Linked DNA regions of Oryctolagus cuniculus. The protein of the gene in region 2 purifies or fractionates together with the protein of the main gene of each other region. This does not show direct contact. Links are inferred from orthologs where the notes say so. Each region holds a gene or a part of one and is shown on either strand. Other genes may lie near its edges. The genes, in order: ADNP, CBX5 and AHDC1.

What was found.
Region 1: the proteins of CBX5 (region 2) and ADNP purify together in Homo sapiens (affinity purification with mass spectrometry; 4 studies listed by BioGRID and IntAct, with this or other methods). This does not show direct contact. The link is inferred for Oryctolagus cuniculus from reciprocal best matches to the Homo sapiens genes CBX5 and ADNP.
Region 3: the proteins of CBX5 (region 2) and AHDC1 purify together in Homo sapiens (affinity purification with mass spectrometry; 3 studies listed by BioGRID and IntAct, with this or other methods). This does not show direct contact. The link is inferred for Oryctolagus cuniculus from reciprocal best matches to the Homo sapiens genes CBX5 and AHDC1.

The regions. Positions count from the first base shown.
Region 1 is NC_091442.1:10,055,067-10,059,323, forward strand, and holds part of ADNP (activity-dependent neuroprotector homeobox protein), read left to right. Parts: intron 1-2,639; 5' UTR 2,640-2,644; coding exon 2,645-2,752; intron 2,753-4,257.
Region 2 is NC_091442.1:57,214,374-57,218,730, reverse strand, and holds the start of CBX5 (chromobox protein homolog 5), read left to right. Parts: upstream 1-1,853; coding exon 1,854-2,171; intron 2,172-4,357. Other genes in the region: HNRNPA1 (heterogeneous nuclear ribonucleoprotein A1), read right to left, coding at 1-177, 312-458, 682-798, 1,361-1,375. UniProt on the Homo sapiens protein: Component of heterochromatin that recognizes and binds histone H3 tails methylated at 'Lys-9' (H3K9me), leading to epigenetic repression. In contrast, it is excluded from chromatin when 'Tyr-41' of histone H3 is phosphorylated (H3Y41ph).
Region 3 is NC_091438.1:144,015,729-144,019,985, reverse strand, and holds part of AHDC1 (transcription factor Gibbin), read right to left. Parts: intron 3,167-4,257; 5' UTR 3,056-3,166; intron 2,903-3,055; 5' UTR 2,865-2,902; intron 2,549-2,864; 5' UTR 2,475-2,548; coding exon 1-2,474. UniProt on the Homo sapiens protein: Transcription factor required for the proper patterning of the epidermis, which plays a key role in early epithelial morphogenesis. Directly binds promoter and enhancer regions and acts by maintaining local enhancer-promoter chromatin architecture.

The DNA.
Region 1 (4,257 bases), about 47 Mb from region 2:
GCAGCCTTAGTTTCAGGCAGAAGCACTTTTCTCCTTTGTTCCTACTCTGTGTATAAGTGTGGGCCCCTTGTCCAGTCCAGACTTCTGATTCAGAAGAGGTTGGGGAGGAGGCAGGAATAACTCTTGCAGGCGTTTTAAAAGAAAAATCGAATGGATGACAGTAATGAACCTTGGAGCCAGGTATTGATGTGAATGTGTAACTCTTGGGAACAGCCGTAGGCCCTTGTGTTCTGGCTTGTCACTCAGATAATCCCAGCGTGGGCTGGTGGAGTGTGGCGGAGACTTGGTTCCAAGGAACTGTCTGGCGTGGTGCATAGAAATGCCTGGGCACTGCCCTTGAGGACCGGACGGGGTCAGCCGTCTGGGAAGCGCTGCGAGGCCGAGGAGAGGGGTGGGGAGGAAGCTTCCTTGCATCTGTTCCTGTGCTGTCCTGTTGTCTACTAAGAAAAGCATGTCATTTAGAGCCAGCAGCCAGAGAAGTGCGTAAGTGCTTAACGTTGAGGATGCGAAGACAAGCTGCAGACGGACAGAGTCTTGGTTAGAAAAAGCTTCTGTAAACAGGTCACTGAGGGCGCCTCCATCTGGGGAGAGGGGCAGATCACTGAATTCCCAGGGTCATTAGAAATGTCCGCGATACGCTCATAGTCGTAGGACTTCTACATCTTCCAGTTAAAACCTGAGCATGGGTTCTTCCGGTTACTAAGCATAGAAGAAAAATAACCTTTTATACAGCGTTTTCCGATAAGCAGTCATGCTTATTTTGTTAACGAGCCTTTTTAATTCAGTGTGGATAAGTACACTCGGAAGTCGACCCTGTGCCACTTCTGAAGTGCACGCGTCCTGCTGCCGAGCTCCTGAGAACCGTGCTTGGCTCGGGGGGCTCCCCCAGGCGCTGAGGTGTGCTTCACCGGGATCCTAGAATGACCGTGGCCGTGGGCAGGCACTGAGAGTGGGCTCTCCTCCCCCCGAGCTGCAGGGACAGGCTGGTGGCCACATTCACACACCTGTGTGCCTTGGTTCTGCCAGGCGGGCAGGGAAACCAGTCCCGGCTGCTTCTGAAGTGAGGCAGGCTTACTTCGGGAAGTTCCTGAATGGCTGGGTTTTGGCCCACAGGGAGGTTTGAAGGGAAGAGAGATGGATAGTGGACTCCTCAGACTTGAGAGGCTGTGCTCAGAATTAGCCTGAAGGATGCCTCTGTGTTTCTAGTCTTTTTTTTAATCGGGCAGTTCTGAAAAAGACCGAGTTTGTGTCAACAACTGAAAAGTCTTGTTTTAAACCACTGAAAAGATGGTTTAAAACAATTTAGCAATAAAACGTCCGTGAAGAATGGCTTGGCTTTCAGTGCAGGGGTTTGTCTGGGAAGCGGGGTGTGATGGCGTGTGCAGAGCAGGGCCGCCTGCAGCGCTGCTTCAGAGCTCACAGAAGTCCAGCCTGAGCGGAGGCCAGGGAGCTCCCTTCTCGGCTGCTGCAGGGGTCCCAGGCAGGACCCCCGGCTGAGCACTGCTGGGAGCCGCTCTTTGCTTTGGTGCGAGGGACTCTTTTTTTCTCTGTTTTTTCATTTTTCATTAGTTAACATTAATTTTTAGATTAGGATAATAAGTGAGACAACATTACATTTGGATTAGTTAACTTGCAGGTAAAACTGGTAGTAGTAACCACCTTAACTAATTGGCAGATAAGATTTGCATATATTAAATTTTAATTCCTGGTTGCTTTGGATTTTGGTTTTGCTGTTTTGAATTTTAGAGCTACTTTATTCTGCAAAACTATTTTGAATTTGGACTACTAAATTGAAGACATTCTGAAGCATATTTTACAGAAGGATTTAGGGTCACATTGGAAGGCATACAAATTCTCAGTTGCCCGAAACAGTAATTTTGTCTTCTTACTAAATACAGCCCTTTGTTTTTAAGGAACTTGGGGAAGTGGATCTGAGTTTGATTTTAATGTGTTAACTCATCACAGTTGTTCCATTCCCATACACACGCAAGGGCTTTTCATTTTTCCGATGGATGCCCTGAAGCCTGTAAGAGTTACCATTTGCTCTGACGCCCAGTGCCCACCTTCTCCCCTCTCAGCAGTCAGTGCCTTGTTGAGATGTGCTGCCAGCTGTCGGGGGGTGAGTCCTCTCAGCCATCATGCCATTGACTTGGGGTGCACAGAGATAGCAGGCGTGCTCCCTGAAGAACACCAGAGCAGTGGCAGGGGTATTGCCGGCAGCAGGAGCTCCCTGGCACTCAGTGTGGTGACAATGCTGCAATGGTGAGCGTTTCCTGTTCTCAGAGGTTCAACATCACAAGCAATAACGCACTCACACTTGACTTAAAAATAATTGGTTGGTATTATTTCCCTCATTCTCAACTTTATCACTGAACTGTTTTTTTTTTTTTTTTAAGTCTAAGCTGAATTGTGCCAGATTAGACTCATAGTTGATTAATATAAAAATGTCCCATTCAGAAAAAATCAGAGAGAACTTATTTTTGCCTGTCTGCTTTGAGTATTCAGAATACACTAGATAAGGATATCTATTCACCTTTTTGTAGTTGGGGCCAGGGTTTGTGATCCTGTCATCAGTGGATTTAGTAAATATTACAAGTTGTACATGTTTTGACTTTGACTTAAATTTTTTTTTCCAATAGAAACTATGTTCCAACTTCCTGTCAACAATCTTGGCAGTTTAAGAAAAGCCCGGAAAACTGTGAAAAAAATACTTAGTGACATTGGGTTGGAATACTGTAAAGAACATATAGAAGTAAGTAGCATGTCATTTTTAAATTTTAACATGACTCAGCTTCTGGTCCATTACTTTGTGTCAGCACGAGGATGGATAATTCTTCGGTGTGATTCTAAATTGTAACCACAGCGTTAGCTTCGCCAGCGCCTTCTCAGTTAGCGTAAACTTCTTCCCTTCACCCCGAAGGGGCTTTTCCGTCTTTGCATCCTGAAGCAACAGCAGCTGCCGTTGAGGGCTTACGCTTGTCAGACATTGAACCTGGGCGCTTTACTGGCCTCTCCCTTTGTTCTTAACGACTTTCGAGGGGCAGTGGGAATTCTTAACCTCCACTCTACAGATGAAAGATGAGTCAGGGACTAGGTCTGGCCTCAAGACGGAGGGAGCGGTGGTGTCTGTGGGGCTCCAGGCCTGTTCTCCTTGAGAGGCCTGAGGGTGCTGTTGGCCGTCTAACTGTTGAGGCATGGTTACTTGACTGCTTGTCGTCTCTTTCCTTGGGATTTGAGCGTTTGTTGGCCCTTTTTACCCATCAGTGACTACTGTCTTCCCCTTGTTTAACAGTTGGCCTTACACTGTTTCTCCTGCCTTTTTATTCTAAGAGCTTTATAATAGCCCCTGGGCGAGGGCATAACCAGAGCAGTGAGTTCCTCCCTTTCCAGGTCTCAGTGCTCCGAGTCTTACAGTTAGGTGGTCAGAGCCTCTGGTTGAAAAAACACAGTGAATGCCATTTCCGTGCTAACCTTTAAATCCTAGCTGGCCAAGGACCATGGCTGCCTTGTTCATCCATTTGTCCCCAGCACCTATAGCACAGTGTTTGGCACAAAATAGGTGCTCAGTAAATGTTTGACTGGAATGGAAGTAAAGGAACAAAAACAAAAATTCAGTAAGCAGTGGTCTTTCTTTTCCTGAGTCCCACTGACACTCTAGGGGTACAGAGTGAAGACGAAGCTCCTCGGGGTGAGCTTCTAGTTAGGTCGTCCCCAGCATGCAGGCTGCCCCTCCCCAAGCCCACGGTGAGGGCAGCTCTGCCCCATGCAGCGGTCTGTTCGCTGCATGTTCGGTGGGGCCCTCTTCACGGGAGCTAATCTCACAGGTGCTCAGGTGCCTCCCGTCCTGCACAGGCTTTGTTCAAACTCTCACGACACTCGTTACAGACTGCGGACTGATGTGTGCTTGATCCCCCTCAGACTGAACCGTTGAGGAGCAAGAATTTTTATCCTAAGACTTTTTATCTTCCTAGTCTAAGGGGAAAGGGGCTGTGTTAGCGTTTTACATAAGAGTGCAAATTTAACATCACGTTGCTTGCTTTCTTTGAATAGCTTTCTTTCCTCCTTTTTGGGTTCAAAAATCCTGAATTTTCTTTCCAATCCAATCTCTGGCCCCTCTCCCTCAAAAAATCTTTTTTTGCAGAACTGGACACATCTGCAGAACCATAAACGAACGTTTCTTAAGACTCCATTGCAGTACTATCGCTGATGAGTTACAGTACTCTAAGAAAACTGCTTTGGTACTAATATGTATGTGAC
Region 2 (4,357 bases):
GGTCACAAAAGCAAAGCCCCTCTTCTTGCCACTGCCTCGATCAGTCATGATCTCAATCACCTCGATTTTCCCGTACTGCTCAAAGTAATCTCGGAGGTGATGCTCTTCAGTGTCTTCTTTAATGCCACCCACGAAGATCTTTTTCACAGTGAGGTGGGCACCTGGTCTTTGGGAATCCTACCGAGCCGAGAACCACGAGTTACTCTAAATGGCAAAATCTGTGTCCTTTATCAAGTACTTGAAAGGGTCCAGATGGCTCCCCAATGGCAAGCCTATTACCACAACCGATGGGGGTTTGGGGGCCCACTTACTTCTCTCGACACAGCCCTCTTTGGTTCCACAACTCTTCCATCCACTTTGTGTGGCCTTGCGTTCATGGCCGCATCCACCTCCTCCACGGTGGCGTAGGTGACAAACCCAAAGCCCCTGGAGCGCTTGGTGTTCGGGTCTCTCATTACCTGGAGACAGCGTTAATTTGCTTATTACAAGGCCCGGGCCCGTAGGAGGTTATAGGGCGGTCCTCCTGTTCCCCGCTCCCGCAACTTCCAAAAAGCAGGCCGAAGAGCCACAAACGAGCCATTCCTAACTCAGAACTCAGGCCCCGTTAGGATCTTAAGCCCTCGCACAGAATCTGCAGGAACAGCCGCCGACGCCCCGCCTCCCGGCCCTCCCCAGTCTTACCACGCAGTCCGTGAGCGTGCCCCATTGCTCAAAATGGCTCCTCAGGCTCTCATCGGTCGTCTCAAAGCTCAGCCCTCCGATGAAGAGCTTCCGCAGCTGCTCGGGCTCCTTGGGCGACTGGGCGGGAGAGCAAAATTGGTTTTTCTCTTGTAAATTCGGGCTACCACACGACCCCGTTTCCACGCGGGGGGTGGGGAACACAACTCGGCCCCCACAAAGGCGGCACTTTTTGTTCGCTCCGGTCCAAAGCGGGCCACGTGCTCCCCCTCATCAGGGGAGGCGGCCCGTTGGGGGCTGGGGAGCCTCCAGCGCATGCGCCGCTCCGCTCCCTCCAGACGCACGCGCGCAACAAAAGGTCCGCGCGGGAGGGGGACATCGCCGTGAGGGGCATCAAGGCTTTTTTAAAACCCGCTCGCCGGGACAAAATTGAACCTAAATCGCCATATGGCTAACGATTTTGCCCCGACGCCGACCCCGGAGTGATTATCGAGGGGCTAGCGGCCCGCAACCTCATGGCGACGACGAGGACAAAATGGCGACTTGAACTTTGGGAGGGGTAGGCCTTGGCCGCGACCGAGCAAACTGCCGAAAAGGTTGCTGCGGGCAAAGAAACCGCCCCTACTGGACTCGAAGAGGGAGACGAGGGGGAGAACTACGTTAGAAAAGGGGAGCTCCTCACCTCTGACTTCGACATGACGGCGGTGGGAAGAGAGAACTCGACGATGCTTCCTCGGCGGCGTCCGCAAGCAGAAAGGAGTAAGCCAACGAACGTATCCGCCAGCCTACCTTCGGCCTCGCTTTTTTATCCCGCCTCCTCGCTTTCGACATTGGCAGACTCCACCCCTGCCTCGCTCTGATTGGACATTTGAAATCGCTTCCCTCTACTATTGGTGTATGGCGCCGCACTGCTGCGTACGTCACCGTTAGGGCGTTCTGCGCAGTCTCCACCCCTCGGACCCCATTGGTCCTCGAGCAATCTTATTCTTAGCCAGCCTGATTGGCTAACTGAACAATCATTCATTTTTGAACGTACTTCGCCTGTCTAAACGTTTTTTTTTCATTCTACTAGTCCAAATTATATATCCTATTTGTTTGGTAAAGCATTATTAACACCAAGCAGCAGAAAAGTAGTTAGATGTGACGGTTTTTTTCAACAACCGCCTGTTGAGCGCATGTGTAGTAAAATGGCGATCTTGCGCATGCGCATTATAGAGTTCCGCTCGCCGCTTGAAACACGTGAAATGGCGGGCGGGAGAAGGCGGTTAACCTACGGCGCCTGCGTAGTGGCGGGAGTTGCGCGCTGCTTTGCGCAGGCGTTGTGGGCGGAGAAAGGGTCCGGGCCCAGGATTGGTTGCGCAGGCGCAGGGAAGGATCCGTTTTGGCGGGCGGTTGGCGTTGCGCAGAAGGCAGCAGCAGCGGTGGCTTGTGGTGCGGCCTCAGCACAGAGGAACGGGGCAGACGTTAGGGTGTGTGATCACTCTCGATCCCGGGTAAGTGGCAGAGAGTCTTGTCTACCTGTACAAGGCCTTGGACCGGCTCCAGTTGGGCCCGTTATTGTGTGAAATGAATGGACCGTGGGGTGGGGGGATAGTCAAGGGGCAGCGGTGGGTTGGGCCAACCAATAGAAGAACAGGGGGCGGGATATTCCATCCCTGTAGGTTGTGTGGAGCTGTGCCGCCGAGGCGTTTGACTGGCGCGTGTCTAGGCCAATTGGGTCTACCTCGAGCTGCCGACTGATCGGCCTTTGGGCCATCGGAATGTGGGAGGCGGGTTTTCCCTTCCTGAGCAGCGTCCCGCCGAGCCAATGAGCGCGAAGCGCGCGGTAGGTTGGGCTTCTCCGAGGGGCCGTGGGTTTGACTCCAGCGGGGAAGGCGGGAGTTGGGCCCTCAAGTGGATGGACCAAATCTGGAGCCAGTAGGCGGGCGGCCCAAGGAAGCCTCTCGGACAGGTCGTCCAATAGGCTCTCCAGGACGGGGAGGTCTTCGATTTGGTGGGAAAGGGTGGGGAGGAAGGAGATTCAATGGTCGTGATGGCGTGCGGGGGTGGGTTTTTCCCCCCTACGACTTCTGCGAAGCCCCCCGCCCGGTGCACCTCTTTGGTAGCGGAAGCGTAAATTTGGTCCTGGGTGCTGCAGCTTGGCATCGCTCTCCACGTCGGGGCATCCCAGCATCCACCACATTGAGTTTGGGGGAAACCCGAGCAGGGCTTTCGATTTAGAGAACTTGTTTTAGGAAGACGGACTGAGTGTTAGCGAATGAGAGAAATCACTGTGTACTGTACGGCAAGGCGACCTCAGGATGCCTGTTTCTGCGGACACAAAGGTGTTCGTAGGCCCGCAGAAAAGTTTCAGAATCCTGCCCCTGTCCGGAGTGTGTTGCTTCTGCCGACGCCGGGGCCGAGGCAGGCTGGGTTTCCAATAGACCCGTGTTTAATCTTTACAGGGGTGACGATTTGTGATTAAAATAAAATAAAAAATGAAGTCAGTTTTGTGTGTGCGTTTCTGTTTATCATACTTCTCATCGCCCTTGTCTCTCTTCTCAGCTAGCTGCTCCGTGCTTTTGTCTTGGTCTTTTTCTCTGACTTTCCCTCCTGTACATATCTTTCTTTACACCATTAAAGATCTCCCGTGTCCCTCTTTGTGCTGTTCCTTTGAGGATGTCCCACGGAAGCCGCTGTAGGAGGCGATACGTTAGGGTGTTGGAGACAAAAGACCCATCCATCACCTGGAGTATTCATTGCCTTTTGATTAGATTTCCTTACGAGGGTGTTCTGCATGTAGTCTGTCTTCTGTTGATAATGCTTTCTCTGCTTATTCAGGGATCTTTTGAAAAAAAAGTTTGCATTATATATTGGGTGTGTTAGGGTCTTACTGCTTTATTGTTCACTGACTTAAAGCCAAGGGAGCAATCTTTAAATACTCTAATAAAAGTCAACCACATATGAAGTACACTTGTGATTGGAGACCTCTCCGCACTTGTGCAAATACAAATGATTTTAATGGAGCTTGTGATGAACCGAGCAGAGATTTCCGTGTTCTCCCGTACTTGCAAAAACGGCAAATCTGTGTTTCATACCTGATCATAAACCTATTTGTGGATATGCTGATAGTGCAGTTGCTGAGCTTCTGATAACTAAAGTGAGAGCGGTTGAGGGTATCCTGGATTTATTTAGGTTTAAAAGGAATACAGTCTTAATCTATAACAAGGTTTCTCATCCTCAACACTATGGGCACTTTGAGCCAGATACTTCTCTGTTGGGCAGGGAGTGGGGGCTGTCTTGGGCTCCCTGGCTCTACCTATTAGAAGCCAGCAGCACCCCCCCCCCCCCCCCCGCTGTCCTCACAGCCGCCAGGCGTTGCCAAAGGTCTGAGAGGGGTAAGCATCGGAATCTCAGTTTGAAACAGACCTAAAATGGCTGATGTTAGAGTTAATTATCCTTTCAAAGTCCTCTGTTTTACCAATTCAATAAAAGTGGGATGTATTTAGGGAGGGGCCTTTGCTGAGTGGATTACTAAATCCTATCACTTATCTCTTTCAGACACATAATAGGATCATTGTTCCTTCTGATAAAAGTGATACTTCATTAACATTCTTAATATTTCTTGCAATCTAATTATATGATTGACTGCTTGAATTTGGCTCCCTAAATAATGGCAAAGGTGTTTTTTTTAAGAAGG
Region 3 (4,257 bases), on a different chromosome or scaffold from region 2:
CCCGAGGGTGTGCCCGTGCTGTAATAGCTGCCTCGGCCTGAGGCCCCACTCTCCAGCCCCGAGGAGGCAAAGGCCCGGGCCTCGGTCCCCTGAAACCCACAGTTTCGGCCGGCCTGCCCACCTGGGTGCCCATGGTGAGGGGCCCAGCCGCCTGCCTTGTCTCCGGCCCACTCAGCGCCCGCCTCCCCGAAGCCGGGGCCGCCGGGCACCTGCTCCGGGAACAGAGTCCCATTCTTCCGGGACCGCCTCTTGCGCTTGGGCTTCCCGGTCACGGCGTCCACCTCCCCCCTGCCCCGCTTGCGTGGGTGCCCCAGCTCAGTGAGGCCGGGGGCCCCGAGCCCAGCGCCTGCCACTGCCACCACCTTCTTCTTCTTGCCGATGCCCTCGAAGAAGTCACTGAAGGAGCACCGGGCTGCCTTGGCCGCGTGGCCCCCGCCCCGGCCGCCGAAACCGCCTGCTTTGCCCCCGCGCCGCCGGAAGCCCTGCACGCGATGCAGGAAGTGGGAGATGCTCTGGGTGTCAGGGGCCTGGTGCACCGACTCGGGCTCGCTGGGTGTCCAGCAGCGGGGCGGCGAGCACCGCCCAGCGCACTGGCTCTGGCGGTTCAGGAAGGCCAGCTTGGCCAGCACGTCCGAGTACTCGGCCTTGCTGTCGTTGGCGTCGGCCGCGTAGGACGGCTGAGGCGATGCCAGCTTCTGCTTCCTCCTCCGCCGCTTCTTCACCTCTGGCATGGCCATGGTGGCCGCTGCCACAGTGGCCGTCTCGGCGGCCACCACGGCCGGCTCCTTGGGCTTGCCGGGACCCAGCAGCAGGTTCTTCGGGGGACGGCCGCGCTTGCGTTTGAGGATGATGGGCATCTCGCCGGGCGGGAAGACCACCACCACGTTCCGCCCGTTGTTCTTCATCTTCAGCAGGGGCGTGGGCTCCGCGGACACACGGAGGCCCAGCTCCTTGCCCTCCACGCTCAGGCTGCTGCTCAGGGAGGACACTTTGTACGTGGTCTTGTTCCGCCGGCCCAGCGACACAGGGATCTTGGCCATCTTCACCACCATGCGCCGCACACCCCGGCACTTGCCTTTGCGGCTGGGGACCATGGGCGTCTGGGAAGATTCTGGCTCCAGCTCCGGGACTGGGACTGGGCCCGGGCCCGGCAGCGCAGGAGGCGGTGGAGGCGGTGGAGGGGGAGGGGGCTCAGCCAGGGCAGCCGCCAGCCCTGTGGGCATAGGAAGGGGCAGCAGGCGGCCCTCGGGTCCAGCGTCTGCCTTGCGTCCCCGTCCGGCTTTCCGCCGGCGACACAGAATCTTTGGCCTATCAGTGCGCCGCAAGGCGTACTTGGGGTGGCCCTCAGGCCCGGGGGGGCCGTGGGGTGAGCACAAGTCCAGGCGCAAGGGCTCCGCCAGCGGGCAGTGCCCCAGGGGCTGCTGAGGCTCCAGACGGCGACCCGGGACGTCCAGCAACTTGGGCAAGGGGTCGAGCGCCTGAGGGTCGAGCAGCTGCGACTCCAGGGAGTCAGGCAGGGTGTCCAGGGCCTGCAGCGTCAGAGGCGGCAGCCCCAACGGATCGGCAAGCGGCTGCAGGGGCGGCAGCTCCAAAGCTTCCCCGAGCGGCTCTAGAGCCTGCGGGTCCAGAAAGCGGGGCTGGGGGTCCAGGAGCTGAGGCTCCGGCTCCGGAGAAGGGGGTTCAAGGGCTTGGGCCTCCAGCAGCTGGGCCTCAGGGCACGTAAGGGAGGCCAGCTCACTGAGGATGTCGGCATCCGCGAGCTCCGAGTAATCAGGGCCGTCTGGCTCCGGCTCTGGGGGCAGCCCGGGGGCTGCAGCCGTGGCTCCGGGACTATGGCCTTGGCCAGGCGGGGGACTCTCCCTAGGCTCAGGTTCAGGCTCATAGAGGGGGTGGCTGGGCCGTTCCGACTTGGCATGGGGGGTGGCCCGCTCCTCGGGGCTGCGGATGCTGTTGGCCAGGCTGGGGGAGGAGAAGAAGCTGTATTGGAGGTCTCCGGGTGGCGGGGCAGGCGGGCGGCTGAGCCGGAGCCCACCGCAGTCCAGGTGCACGCCGCTGTGCTGCAGGTCCTGGGAGAGCCGGGTCAGGTCCTTCATGATGTCAATCAGCTGCACCACTGGTCGCAGGGTCACCCGCCCGTTGTCCCAGCGGTGGTGGGAGCTGCTGCTGTCGCCCGCCGGTGTAGGGCAGCGGGCCTGTGAGACGGGCCTGGCTGCCCGCGGGGGCAGTGGGTCGTCCCCCTTGGCGAGGACTGGTGGGCGCCGGGTGCTGGGGTCCCGGCGTGGGGGTGGGCGTGGGTTCTCGGAGAAGGCGTGGGTGGAAAAGCCCTTGTCAGGTGGGCTGGCGGGGGGCCGGGAGGGCAGCAAGGGCCGGGGGGTGGGGGGGCCGCCGGGGTAGTACTTGGGCTCCCGGAGGTAGTCAGGAGAGCTGCACACGGCACTGGAAGTCACCACCAGGCCCTGGGGCTTCACACGCATCCTGACCTTGTCCTCCGCGGGCCGCCGGGCGGGGCCGGGGCTGACATGAGGGTGCGAGAAGCCGGGACCAGGACCTGTTGGGCAGGACAGGCGGGAGGTCCCTCACTGAACACCTCACCAGCTTCTCTTCTCAGTGAACCCCTGGGCCTTCCCCCAGCCCTCTCAAAGCACCACATGCATGGGCCCCGGTTCTTACTGACAACTCACCTGCCCTGGAGACCCTGGCTATGGGCTCAGGGAGAACAGACCCCCGCCTCTGCAGGGAAGCCCAAGGGAACAGCAAGGGGAGCGCTCGGGTCGACTTAAGAAGGAGGCTGGGAAATCCTACCAAGGGCATGGCCTCCCACCTCCCCGCCCCCACCCCAGGACTGCAAGAATCTGGCCACTCACCCTCGGCTCTGCCGCCTGGGCTGTCACACTGGAGAGCTCTGTGGATGAGACAGCGACAGGGGACCTGAATTCCCCACGTGGTCTGGGGGCCACAGCTCAATGCCTGGCCACCTGCCCACTGCTCAGGTCTCCTCCAGGAACCAACCCCCAGCTCCCTAGGTTGCTCCCTGCAGCGCGCATACCCCGCTGACCTGGGAGAGAGAGGGCCCCTGTGCCTGGGGGCGCTGCCAGTCGCTGGCCGTCAGCTGGGGGTGCTATGGAGCAACTTCGGCCTGAGCCCAGGCCTCGGGCGTGGACAGCGCCTGGAAAGGACCATTGCAGCTCAGGTTTAGTGGGCACCTACTGCGCGCCAGGCACTGGGCTGGATGCTGTGTGGGCATCGTTTCATTTAACGCTTCATACAGATGCTGTGAGGTGCGGGCTAGTAATAAGCCCATTTCACAGAGAAGAAATGGAGGCTCCAAGATGAAAGAACTCACTACTTATGGAGTGCCTGCTTTGCAAAAGGGCTGGGCAGACAGATCCCGATTAGATAATCGTGAATGATTTAATCGTTAGTGGCATAAGAGCTCCAGGGAAGTGAAGCATGCCTAAGGTCAGAGCTTCAACAGTCACTACTATTGCTGCCCCCAAAGACACTGTCACTGCTGCCAAACACGGGGCCACGCCCATTACACGGCACCCCTCGCCTCACGCCCCTGCAGACCAGAGATTGAGGTCAGCACCCTTCCCAACTCCACAGAGCCCACCGCTGAAGGCATTAAGCACCATGAAGGCAAGGATCGTGTCCCTTTCTGTTCGTGGCTTCCAACACCCAGAATGGCACGTGGCCCTCAAAAGATGGTTTCAAGAAAGATTTGTGGTGGGGCAGGTGCTATGGTGCAGTGCCGGCATCCCACATGGGCGCCGATTTGAGTCCCGGCTGCTCCACTTCCGATCCAGCTCTCTGCTATGGCCTGGGAAAGCACTGGAGGATGGCCCAAATCCTTGGGCCCCTGCACCCACGTGGGAGACCTGGAAGAAGCTCCTGGCTCCTGGCTTTGGATCAGCCCAGCTCTGGCCATTTGGGGAATGAACCAGAGGATGGAAGACCTCTCTCTCTCTCTCTCTGCCTCTCAAATGAATGAGTAAAATAAATTTAAAAAACAAAGATTTGTGGAATGAGTGAATGAACAAGGCACACACAACAGTCAACCCTGCCTCAAGTGTGACCCAAGAAGGAAGCTGAGGCAGGGAGAGGGACAGGGCTGCAGGATGGGACCCTCTCTGACCCTCTCCACTGCTCCAGCCCAGCCCCAGCTCGCTCGGGCCCCATCAATCTCCATGTCACAGTCCCCATCAACCGTAGGCAATCACCAGAGCACCTCCCCCGAGGGTGTGGGCTCTGCAGGGG